Linked DNA regions of Alligator mississippiensis. The protein of the gene in region 2 purifies or fractionates together with the protein of the main gene of each other region. This does not show direct contact. Links are inferred from orthologs where the notes say so. Each region holds a gene or a part of one and is shown on either strand. Other genes may lie near its edges. The genes, in order: TUT1, SART3 and PPIH.

Region 1 (3,987 bases), on a different chromosome or scaffold from region 2:
AGCCCAAGACGCCGCGTGGCACCAAGACACCCATCAACCGGAACCAGATGAGCCAGAGCCGGGGCCTGGCTGGCATCGTGGGCAAGAGGGCCTACGAGGGGGCCAGTGACGCGCACCGCGTGGCCCGGGTACGCAAGGTGGGGGGGCTTTGTCAGGCATCGGGGGGCGCGGGGGGCTGTAGAGGGGTGGGGGCTTGAGGGGGAAATCATAGTGGGGGAAGTGGGGGGAATCGTAGTGGGGGAAGGGCTACCTGGCAATGGAGCAGGGACTGGGAGGGGGTTGCCAGCAGCAGGGTGGGAGGTTCTGGGGTGGGATGGGGAGGGAGTAGTGGGGGCTTTCCTGGTACAGCTGGGGTAGGGGGCTGGGGCAGGATTGGGGGCCAGGGCTGGACTGGGGAGCCAGGGCACAGCTGAGCTTCCCTTCTTCCTACCCCCCCCACGTGGGCGGCGCAGGTGGTGGGGGGTGGCGTCCCCTTCTCAGCCAACGGGCGGCCCCTGAGCTCAGGGCTCCGGGCCAGCGCGCAGCCGGCCGCCAAGCGCCAGAAGCTCAACCCAGCTGATGCCCCCAACCCTGTCGTCTTTGTTGCCACCAAGGACACCAGGTACTGGGGGGTGGGGGTCTGGGAGAGGGGGCTCCAGAGCAGGCTGGAGCCTGGGCCTGCTGTGGGGGGCAGGTGGGAGGACACCAGGGCTGCCCCCAGGGTCTGGGGGTACCCACCTCCCCCCCACTTGTGACCATACTCCCCCCCACCTTCCCCTCCCCCCCTACAGGGCACTGCGCAAAGCCCTGACCCACCTGGAGATGCGGCGAGCTGCCCGCCGGCCCAACCTGCCCCTCAAGATCAAGGCCACACGCCCCACAGTTGCCCCCCTGGCGCCCGTGCCCCCTGCCCGGCCCGCCAGCACCACGGAGCCCATCGTCCTGGAGGACTGAGCCGGGAGGGGGGGGGCCTTTCCTTTTTATATTTTTTTATTTCCATGTATGCTCCCACAACGTGGCTGGGGGGGCCGGGGCCCAGCCTTGGAGGGCGGAGGGGGGGGTCCGGGCCTCTGGGGCTGCCCCCTTCAATGCAGCTACTTCCTGTCTGTGTGACCTACCCCCCCCTTCCCCCCAGGGCCAGAGGGGAGGGCGCCTGCCCGCCCTTCTCTCTCCTCCCCGGGGTGTTTTTGTACCTCGCCCTGTAACCAGTTCTTATAGTGACCAACCGGGAAATAAAACGACACCTTTTCTTCACCCTTTGCCACTGCTGTGGTTTGGGGGGGGTGTTACAATCTCCTTTATGGGGGGAGAGCCAGGCACAGACATACAGCTGCAATCAAGGCCCATGGAGGGGTTTATTGCACAGAGAATGCAGTCAGACCACAACTCTGGGGTCTCTCCATACCCCCTCCTCCCAGTGCCAAGGGCCTGGAGGTGCCTCGTTCCCTGGGGCAGCTCTAGCCTTGCTCCCCTGCCCTGGGTGGAGCTTGTTGGGGTAGCTCCCCACCCCCACACTACTGCACTGGCGCAAGGGCTATGACCCCCATGTCTGGGGGCTCCTGTCCCTCAGCTCCTGGTGGCAGAAGAAGCTGTCGATGAGCTGCTGGCGCTGGCACAGCCCCTCGGGGCAGGGGGGGCAGTGGAAAGGGTTTGAGGGGGATGTGCCTTGGGGGGCCTGCCCTGGAAGCGAGGGTAGGGACAGCCCCTGAGCCACAGCCACGTTGTGCAGGATGCAGCAGGCGAGGAAGATGCTGAAGACCTTTGGGGGCATGTACTGCAGCCCCCCCCGGCCCACCCTAGCGTGCTAGGCACTGGAACTGCCCCTTCAGCCCTCCCCACAGCAGCCCGGGCGGCCACGTGATAGTGCTGCTCCGCTGCTGAACACTGGGCCTCCGCTGGCACCAGCAGCCAGGGCTGCAGTAGGTAGGGTAGCAAATCATACTGTCACCTGCGGAGAGCACGTGCGATGGGGTTAGGGTTCGTAGAGCGTAAGACTGGAAGGGACCTCAGAAGATCGTTGGGTCCGGCCCCCTGCACCAAGCAGGGAAGATAACGGGGGTCAGGTGCCCCAGCAGGGTGACTCCAGTCTTCTCTTGAAGAGGTCCAGGGTGGGGGGTTGCAGTGGGGGCCCCGCCTGTGAAGCAGGCAGTAGGCGTGGTCCCAGTTGGCTCAGGGGGGTGGGGACAGGGCAGGGGCCCAATCCAGGCAGGCCCCGGGGTAAGACAGGGCAGGGGCCCTGCTCCTGGAACAGCCCCATCTGGCTGGAGGGAAAAACAAGGCAGGGACCTGGGAATGCACCTGCTCAGGAGGGGATCCCGAGCTGGCTCAGGCAGGGTATCGCAGGGCAGGGCCCCCGGCATGCCCCCAACCCTCCCCAAGCTGTCTCCCAGCAAAGCCCCCATAACAGGAGCTTCTACCCTGCCACCGGCGCTAGGCCTCGGCGCGGGGAGGGTCTCCCGGCCTCGCCTAGGAGTCCTTTCCCATCCACTGGTGGGAGGGACGGCGGCCTGGCCCTGCTCTGGCACGCAGAGCCCACGGCCCCCTACAAGGGGTGCGGGGCACAGCAGGGTGCCTGAGGTGCCTGGGGCTCGCCCGGCAGCCACCCGCCCCGTCGTGGTGCCCCTCGAAGGGGGGGAGGCCATGGGTGTCCGGCGGCTTCAGGGCCACGTGGGTGCAGCCCAGGGCTCCCCGCACGCCGCGTCGGGAAGCAGACAAAGGCGACGGGCGAGGGCGGCCGTGTCCTGGGACACGCTGGCCTGGCTGGTGCCCGCATCTGCCCCGGCCCCTGCCCGGTAGGTGCCCACGGTGTGGAAGGCGAGGGCGGCCGCCACCTTGACGCCTGCGGGCAGCGCGTGGCCCAGGTCGGCCGCCACGGCTCAGGGGCCAGGGGGACAGCAGGTACAGTGCAATGGAGGCCGGAAGTGGGGGTGCGGTGTTCTCTCTGTCCTTCCCTCCCTCCCTCCCTCCTCTGTGCTCCGGGCGGGCTCCTCGGGGCCGGGATGGGAAGGAGCGGGGGGCACGTTGGCGGGACGGACCATTTCCTGTGGCCCGGGAACGAAGAGTCCTAGGCAGGGCGGGTGGAGTTGAGGGAGCCCTATCGGGGACGGACCACTTCCGGCAGGGAAGGCGCGGGAAACACGACTGTCGGGGGACGCCTATCGCGGACGGGCTACTTCCGGCGGGGAGCGGCTTCCGGGGGAATCTCAGGGACGGACACTTCCGGCCGCGCGGAACCCGCGCCGGAATGGAGCCGGATGTGGAGGCGCTGCCCCGCGGGGGCTTCCGCTGCCGCCTCTGCCACGTGACCGCCGCCAACCGTGAGCGGGGGGCGGGGTTAGTGGGGGGAGGTCAGGGGTCACCACGTGGGGGGTCAGAGGTCACCACGTGGGTCAGGGCGGGGCTGAAACGCTGGCCTGACCTCTGACCTGTAGGGTCAGACTGAGCCCCCCAACCTTTGGCTGCTGACCTCACCCCCTTGCGTCAGAGCACCTTACCTTAGACCCAGGCAGTGACCCCTGACCTCGCTCCCCCTCCCCTGACCCTTGCCCTGTGCCCCTCCCCTGACCCTTGCCCTGCCCCCGGCAGGGCCCAGCCTGGACGACCACCTGCGGGGCCGCAAGCACGGGCGGCTGGCGGGGCTGCGGGCCCAGCGCCAGGCCCAGGCGCAGCGCAGCGTCTTCGTCAGCGGCTTCCGCAAGGGCACGGACGTGGCCGAGCTCAGCGACTACTTCCAGGCCTTTGGCGGCGTGGCCAGCGTGGTCATGGACAAGGACAAGGTCAGTCCCGGCGCTGGGGGGGGGAGCGGGCAGCCCTCCTCCTGCCCCGCCGGCCCTGATGGCTTCCCTGCGCTGTTCCCCGCAGGGCGTCTACGCCATCGTGGAGCTGGAGGACCAGGCGGCACTGGAAAAGGTCCTGGCCCAGCCTCAGCACAGCGTGGGGGGGCAGCGGCTGCGGGTGAAGCCTCGGGAGCAGAAGGAGTTTGCCTACGCACCCCCCAAGCGGCAGGGG
Region 2 (3,987 bases):
TTTCCTGCCTGTAAGAGCAGCAAATTGCTTGGCAACATCTATCTGAAGTCTACAATCGTATGAGCCTGACTCTGCAATTCACTGCCTTACATAGGGTTTCCAAGCAGCTACTCTCTTCCTTCCAGGAAAAAAAAATTGAGGAGGAATAGTTCACAATAACGTAATGTACTTTTAGGATGTGTCTGCAACTTACAGATATAGTCTTTCACAGCCCGCTCGAACAAATCATACACCTTCTCTCGATCAGCGTTTTCTGAAGCCATTCTGATCTCGTCCTTTAACCAGTCCAGCCAGATTTCTGTAAGAGAGCAAGCATTTCAGACCCCATCAACCAAGGACATTCCAGAGCCTGAGAAACAAGCAGGATTGTTACCATGTCACTGGAAAAAGAATCTAAGCAGAGAATTACTTTTAAAAGAAATCAGGCCTTGAAACCTGACAGTTACCTACAGTGAACTGCGCTAACCTTTGGCCAGCTTTTACCCATTTGGACACCATACGTACGGGCAAATTTGTATTTAAAAGGAGAACAGCTGGTCCCTTGTGCTGTGAACCATAATTCCCTGTGCCCTGAACTGAAGCCATCCCACAACTGGTGCCCCTCTGTGTACTCCAACACGTACTTGGCCAGAGCGATTGCATTTGTCCCTAAAAAGGGGTCCCCCTACTACCACAACACTGTCAAGGCAAAGCAGGGAAACACACAGCTGCTGCGAGTACCAAAAACAAAACAACGAAATCAGTCTTTCGGCTCTCTGCGACTTAAACTAGTAAATTCAGGAAAAAAGACAAATTTTAAGGTTTTAGCCACTGCATGCCCAGCACTTGATTTTACTGCTTAAAATATTTGCATAAGAGCAGTCAACTGTGTCTACCTAATTTGGTCTTGTGAACCCTTCATGAAGTTGAACCCCAACACTTCACACAACACACAGTTTATTTTCTGAAGAGGGAGGAGGGTTGGTATCAAGCCAGAGGGAACGGCGTCAGCGACAAGAGCTCCCGTACCTTCAGTGAGCGGGAAGAGTTCGCTCATCTTCTGGCGAGCTCTTCGAAGCTTGACCAGCTCTCCCTCCTGACGGAGGAGCTTGATCAGGTCCAGGTGACAGTTGTAGTCGAACGCGTTGATCGAAAGCTTTTTGAAAGGAAGCGAAAAAGGCGTCAGATAGGAAGCATTACTCGCTGGAGCAGAAAACGGGGAGACGAACGGCTAGATTACAAACGTGTCGGCGGCCCCGCGCGCTGCTGTCCTTGCCCTGTCGCGGAGCAATACCAGGTGCTTCAAGGACATAAACACGATGACATCTTCATAACGCTTCTACGCTTAACCTGCCGCGGGTTCAAACAGGGTCTCCGATCGAGCAGTTCAGCTTAACGCCAGGGAGATTTTGCTCACCGGGGGCTCGCGAGCCTCCCCGAGCTGCCGGGAGCGCCGGCCGCGGCTGTCGTTTCAACTGTAAACGGGGGAATGCGTCTGCCCGTTTTTAACAACCTCTACCTACAAAAATGAACGTCTGTAAGCTAGAAACACCAGAGGGCTTCAACTCCTCCGACAAAAACCAGCCAAAACGAGCAATTTTACAAAAAAGGGATCGTTTCTGATCTGTCGGATCACAACCGTTCTTTATCGCCAAGCGAAGAACGACGCCTGCGTTTGCAGCTCAACGCTGGGGCGCGTTTTACAGTCCCTCGAAGCCCCCGACGGCGGCGCCTAAACCCGGAGGGCCAAAGGCGGTGTTTTATAGTTCGCTGAAGCCGCCGACACCTACACCGGGAGGATTCAAGATGACCTCGCGGCCGCCAACGGCGACACTGACACCGGGATTAAAGATTTTACAGTCCGCTGAAGCCACCGACAGTGACACCTAAGCCGGGGGGAGCTAAAAAGACGACGTTTTTACACTTCGTTGGAGACAGGAGGGCTGAAGTCGCGGCCCCGTGCGGGATCAACTACCACCCTCGAGCGGTCGTGGACGCCCCCCTCGACCGTGTCGGCCTCAGGCGTGGGGGGGAGGGGAAAGGGCCCGCGCGCTCCCGCCACCCCCACGCGAGGACCGTGCGACCGTTACGGCGCGTTGCCATGGAGACCGCGTGCCGTGGGGGGGGGGAGGGGAGGGGAGGGGAGGGGACACCCGCCACCCCCCGGCCCGGCCCGGCCCCACCTGCTCCTCCAGCCGCTGGATCTCGGCCTCGTTCTCCTTCTCCTCATCCTCGCCGTCCCCCGACGACTCCGAGTCGCCGCCGCCGCCAGCTTCCTCGTCTTCATCGTCCTCCTCCTCCTCCTCGGAGCCAGCCCGCCGTTCCTGCTGCTCCTCGGCCGCGGCCGCCGCGGGCTCCTCAGCTCCCGCCGCCGCCGCCATCTTGTGCCGCCGCCTGCCGCCTGCCCCGCGCGGGGCTGCCACGCCGCGCGCCTGATGGCTCCAGGATCCCCGCTGCCGCAGGCGGCGGCGGGAGCGGGAAGGAGCCGCCGCTGCGGGAGTCGTCCGATCCCTCCTGTAAAAACAAGAGCCTCCCAAAAGGGACCGGCGGCCTCCTCTTGTGTTTCATCCTGGCAGGCTACTTGTTCAGCCACCTGTAGCCCCTGAGGGCGCGGGGGCCTTCGAGAAGGTCAGCGCCGGGATTGGCTGGAGCTGGGGAAGGGAGGGGCGGGGCTTAGCCGCCATGTTGAGTGTGGCAGGTTGTGCAATGCAGGCAGCTGGCCTGGTGCTGCAGTGGGCTTCCAGCTGTTTCAGCGCATCCCGCTCGTTTTGGGGGCAGAGGCAATTCCTTGCAAGCATCAGCACTGTATGTGCACCCTCCGTCCCCCCGACTGCTGCAGCACCTTGTTGGGGGATGACACACACCAGGATCCCCTGCGTTTACAAAGCTGCCCCCATCCCCAACCCTGGAGATGCTGTGGAGCTGCTCCTAATTGCTGTCAAAATGGGCCCAACCCACGTTTGAAGTGGGGTAGTGCCCAGACCAGTTTCTCCAGGAGAGTCCCCCCCCCTCCCCCCATGGTGAAGATTTGGGAGCGACCCAAAAAGGATTTTGCCCACAAATCCCTGCCCAAACTCATGGTTGTGACCTTAGCGCAAGGCCTGGGGGGCTGGCGCTTGGCAGGCTGGCGTGTCGACGTGTACTTTGGGTCGGGCAGCGTCAGGTCTCCGTCTCCGTGGCGGAGGTGTGCGTTTTGGGTGCCCCCATGCAGCTTTTGTCCAGGCATCCCAGCCTAATCTCCGCTCTTTACCCAGAGCAACGGACTCGTTGGGTGCTATGGCCTGCCGTTTGTATCGGCAAACGCAATCTTTTCTCCTGTGCCTGACGAAGGATGTCGGTGCCCGAAAGCTCGCAGGGAAAGAATTTTTTTGCAAAAATCTAGTTGGCCCAGCAGCGCAGGGGCCATCTCACCCTCTCCCCTACGCACGGCTGGGCTTCGCCACTCCTGCCCGCGAGCCCTGATAGTATTTGTTAGCAAACATATCATTTCTGATGACCTTCTGCCCCTCCAGCCACCCACCCACCTTCAACTGGGTAACGATTAGCTTGGGACTAAGGCCTGGGGCAAAAGGAACCCGCCAAAACACCCCCCCCCCCCCCCCCCAAATCATCAGCTACCGGGCTCAACCCTCGTTTCCCACCGCCCAGCAAAGGGTTAACCAGGGGCACGTGGCGACGCCATTACGCACGGTGAGGGGGCGGGGCTAGCCGCCGCGGGGACGTAGCGGGCGCGGGGACGTAGAAGACGCCGGCGCCGCCGCGTTCAGGGTCACGTGACAGAGGGGGAGTGGCGGCGCAAGATGGCGGCGCTGCGGACGGGCGGGCGGCTGGCGCAGCTGTCCCGCGGCTACCACCGCAAGGTGGTGGATCACTACGAGAACCCGCGCAACGTGGGCTCGCTCGACAAGCGCAACAAGAACGTGGGCACGGGGCTGGTGGGCGCGCCCGCCTGCGGTGACGTCATGAAGCTGCAGGTGCGCGGGGCAGGGGGAGGGGGAGGGGAGCACA
Region 3 (3,987 bases), on a different chromosome or scaffold from region 2:
CCAGGTGAAACCAGAGGACAAGCGCAGAGACGGCGCGAGGGAAGCAGGTAGATTCCAGACCTCCAAGACCCGCCAGATGAAGTTACGGATGAGTTCGGGCTGCGCAGGGTGCACGTTCCACCGAAAACAGAAGGCAAGTAGGAAAGACAAGGATGGCTCTCGGGTTAGAAGAATGAGGGATGACAAGTGAGGGAGGCGCCTGTCAGAGGCTGAAGCTGGCAGAGATGCTGCAGAGTGGGGGCATGGGGGGCTTTGGCATCGCCAGAGTATATTCCATGGGTCTAACCAGGTATTCCCCCTCTTTGCTGAAAGGGCTTCTGGGCTCCAGCCACCTCCTTCCCCCCCGTCAATGCCCTCTCGCTCTTTCCTCGTCTTTCATTTACATATCCCCGCTCACTAAGCAACAGGTTCCAAAAATAAGTTAAACGGTTAAATACTGCCCCATGGGAAGAACACCACTCTGCATCTTTAAGGAAAGGAAACGGACAAACTCATAATACCTACATTTACAAAGTCGCCTCCCTGGATCATGAAATCCTTTATCACCCTGAAAAGTAATTAAGAACAAAGTAAACGACTGCTTCTCTGTGAAACATCTTCCCACAAAGTTTAGTATCTCAGAAACGACAGAGAAACAGCCCATGCCACAATAAAATGCACCTAGTGACTAGGTGATGGACTCGACATGGGATGACCTCTGACTTTGGACAAAGGCTGGACAGCGCTGCCTGTGCCCTGGGTGATAAGCACCGAGAAGAACATACTTTTTATCCGGCAAGTACAAGAGTGGCCCACAGAGGCAGAGTCGCCCAAACTATAGATGCAGGGCAGAGACTTTAGAAAGAAAACACTCTTCAGATCTCCTATCCCTCGATGACTACAGGATGCCTCCTACTTTAGGGACTGCTTTCAAACCCGGGCACCAGGCTGCGTCTAGGTCACCGCGCTGTTTTGAACAAGAGGAAATTGACTTACCGGTGGAAAGTGCTCCCCTTGTAACCTATAGGGACACCATCTTTCCTACAGCAAAAGACAAGGACACAGCACTGCAAGGTGCCGCTCGTCGCAGCTCGACACTTCCAGTCGGGCTAGAACCCCGGAGCCCGCGTGCCGGACCGACGGGCCCCCCCGCGCCCGGGACGGCCCTACAGCACCTGGCAGCAACAGCCATTCAGGCAGCACGGGGGTGGGAACAAACACCATCGGACTTCTCTGCTTTCTGGTCACGACACACCTCAATATGCCGCTTCAAAGGAGCGGTGCGCTGACCCCACGTACCTGAATTCACCCGTGCAGAACTGCCTGGAAAGAGGGGAAAAGAGAGCGCGCAGCACATGAGTCGCCTGAAAGAGGAATTTGAATCCAAACCCAATCACCGCTGCTCTGACTGCTTTACTGAAGAGGGACGAGGGGACTCCCCTTCCGAGCAGCAAGTGACACTGCTGACAGGAGCAGCAGCAACTGCGACCCTTCCTCCCCAAGGGCTGTTTCTCGGCATCAGCCTGGATCAGATGTTGGATGCCGAGAACGGGAAGAGCCAAAAACGTGGATTTGGGCATCACCCCCTGGAGACCCGCAGTGGGAAGGGGGGGCTGTGACGCCCGTCGAGAAGGGAGCGGCGGGCGCCCTCTCGTCAGACAGGCCGACGGGAGACCGAGGCATTCAGCTGCCGCTCCCGCGAGGCACGCTTGGGACGGGCCCGCGGAGGCTCGGAGCGACCCCGAGAAACGCGGCCAGCCACGCGCACGTCTCTGCTGGCTGCGGAGAGCGGCCTGGGCCGGGCCCGGACGGACCCAGCGACCAGCCTGGCTCACCGGGCACCGCGGGCCCAGCACCGCGCTCGGGGCCGCCACGTCTCCCCCAAGCACCGCCGCGGGGTCGCCACCGCCCGGGGACCGGCGCTCGGGCCCCCGCAGGGAAACGCGGGAGGGGGGGAGGGGGGGTGGCGCGCTGCGGTCCCGCCCCGCCCCGCCGCACCTGAAGTTCTCGGCCGTCTTGGGTATCACGTCGGCGAACAGCTCGATCTTCATGCGGCCCACCTCCTGCGGGGCGGGGAGGGGAGAGGCGAGGCATCAGCGCCGCCCGCACCCGCCCCGCCCCCCTCCTGCGCCCCGCGCCGCCCCGCCCGCACCTGCCCGCCGATGGTGACATCGAAGAAGACGACCGGGTTGTTGGGGTTGGAGGCCAGCACCGACATGACGCCCCGCGGCCCGGAACCGGAAACACGGCGGCGACTTCCGCCCGGAAGTCCCCGGCCCTGCGGAGCATGCGCGGGAGCGGCCGCCTCCGTGGGCGGGGCCAGCGCCACGTGCTGCGACAGGCGGCGGGCTGCGAGGGCGGGAGGGGAAGGCGGGGCGGGTTCGGGGCCCGCCAGGAGACGGCGGTGCCGAGCTGCCTGCGGGGCCACCAGGCGCTCCAACGGGCTCGTGCCCGACCCGCCAGCAGCCGCTCTCCATGCCGGCCCGGCCCGGCCCTTCCTGGGGCTGCCGGGCCGCCCGAGGGGCAGGGGCGGCTGCCACCGCGGCACCAGAGGCCGGGAGCGAGGCCTGGGGCCGGCCGCCCACCCGTGCTGCCTGCCGGGCGCCCCGCAGCCCTGCGCGGGTCCGGGCCCGGTGCGGAAGGAGCCTGGAGCCGCTGCTCGCCTCTGCTTCAGAAACCCCCTAGAAGCGCCCTGGACCTCCAGACAACCAGCGTCAAGCGGAGAAGAAACATTTTTTAAAATAACACTTTAATGAATTACTTTATGATTAAAAAAAAAAATAAATCCGACAGCTTTGGGACAAGACGTTGAGCTGGGCAAACAGCTGAAAACCAGTCACCGAATAATTTAGTTGAGAGGTGTCACAAAATCCACGTAATACGTTATTTGGCGAATGCTCCTCCCCTCCTTGTGCCCCGCGGCAAGGGAGAGCTCAGCTCCTTGCCGGGGGGCCATAGACATCGTCGCAGCAGAAACCCGGCCTCTCCTCCTGCGCCTGCAGGCTGGCGGGGTCTCCGGGGGACGCCACGTTCAGGTAGCCCATCTCGGAGGGCTGAGAAGGCGATAAGGAAGACGAGGACTTTTGGCTTTCAGCGCCTTCGTCGGACTTGGCTTCTTGAATGGCTCTCAGCACGCTGAGCGAGTCCGACAGCCCCGCCGCTGAGAAGCTGCAAAAGAATTCCCGCCCCGTGTTCGCTCTGCAAACAGCGTCTCCAGCTGCGTCCTCGCGGGGCCCCACCGCCGCCACACCCGCGTGCCACATGGTCTTCGTGCTGCTACCCCCGGGGGCGGGAAAGGTCTAACGTAGAGACAGGCCAAACCCCAGATCCTCACGGGCACTCAGCTGCCTTCCTCCCGAGGAGCCTAATGCCCATTCAGACCCGTTAACTGCCCCCTCCTGTTGGCAAGGTCTGAGACTCTAACTGTGAGGTCTGTCGTGCTCCCTCGCTGCAGCAGTAACTACTAGTGCTCGGCTGTGCTGCTGCAGCACTTGCAGGCCCAGTCAAAGATCGAGCTCGGGGCCGTGCACAGTCACAGAAAGCCCCACGGGACTTGCAAACTAAAGGAGGCAGCAGCTAGTAGATGCTGGTTAGCTCCACCCCTCCGTCCTACCGCACGACCAAAAGACACGAGGGAATAAAATAAAGGGTGAAACTTGTGTTTTGAAAACAGGAATCCATGGCTTCCCTATTCCCCAGTGCTGACAGGACCTGCTATTAGTAAGCAGACCTGGTGCCTTTTTACTCACGGGACCTACCTCGTGTTTGGAAGTGGCAACATTTTACTCAGTAGCTGGCATTCAGAGAAGCCAACGCTCCTCAAGTCCTAGGAAAAGAAGCAGAACAATAATCAACTGATAAAAGGCAGGGAGGGCATGCTCAAGGCAATAAACACGTTGCAAACAAACCAGAGAGGAAAGGGATATTTTCACACAGTATTTAGAGACGGGAAACTTGGGATCTCAGATGCACGGGAGAAAATTCCAAGGAAAGAGACAGCACGGAGGA

The links.
Region 1: the proteins of SART3 (region 2) and TUT1 purify together in Homo sapiens (co-immunoprecipitation; 4 studies listed by BioGRID and IntAct, counting the BioPlex papers as one, with this or other methods). This does not show direct contact. The link is inferred for Alligator mississippiensis from reciprocal best matches to the Homo sapiens genes SART3 and TUT1.
Region 3: the proteins of SART3 (region 2) and PPIH purify together in Homo sapiens (affinity purification with mass spectrometry; 3 studies listed by BioGRID and IntAct, with this or other methods). This does not show direct contact. The link is inferred for Alligator mississippiensis from reciprocal best matches to the Homo sapiens genes SART3 and PPIH.

What each region holds. Positions count from the first base shown.
Region 1 is NC_081838.1:3,244,735-3,248,721, forward strand, and holds the start of TUT1 (speckle targeted PIP5K1A-regulated poly(A) polymerase), read left to right. Parts: upstream 1-1,332; 5' UTR 1,333-2,887; coding exon 2,888-3,296; intron 3,297-3,564; coding exon 3,565-3,755; intron 3,756-3,840; coding exon 3,841-3,987. Other genes in the region: metastasis-associated protein MTA2, read left to right, coding at 1-137, 453-601, 771-933. UniProt on the Homo sapiens protein: Poly(A) polymerase that creates the 3'-poly(A) tail of specific pre-mRNAs. Localizes to nuclear speckles together with PIP5K1A and mediates polyadenylation of a select set of mRNAs, such as HMOX1.
Region 2 is NC_081833.1:4,624,690-4,628,676, forward strand, and holds the start of SART3 (squamous cell carcinoma antigen recognized by T-cells 3), read right to left. Parts: upstream 2,387-3,987; 5' UTR 2,361-2,386; coding exon 2,163-2,360; intron 1,136-2,162; coding exon 1,009-1,135; intron 299-1,008; coding exon 194-298; intron 1-193. Other genes in the region: iron-sulfur cluster assembly enzyme ISCU, read left to right, coding at 3,780-3,953. UniProt on the Homo sapiens protein: U6 snRNP-binding protein that functions as a recycling factor of the splicing machinery. Promotes the initial reassembly of U4 and U6 snRNPs following their ejection from the spliceosome during its maturation.
Region 3 is NC_081836.1:1,381,933-1,385,919, reverse strand, and holds the start of PPIH (peptidyl-prolyl cis-trans isomerase H), read right to left. Parts: upstream 2,239-3,987; 5' UTR 2,198-2,238; coding exon 2,132-2,197; intron 2,043-2,131; coding exon 1,978-2,042; intron 1,303-1,977; coding exon 1,279-1,302; intron 1,021-1,278; coding exon 976-1,020; intron 548-975; coding exon 505-547; intron 1-504. Other genes in the region: CCDC30 (coiled-coil domain-containing protein 30), read right to left, coding at 2,913-3,147, 3,738-3,805. UniProt on the Homo sapiens protein: PPIase that catalyzes the cis-trans isomerization of proline imidic peptide bonds in oligopeptides and may therefore assist protein folding. Participates in pre-mRNA splicing.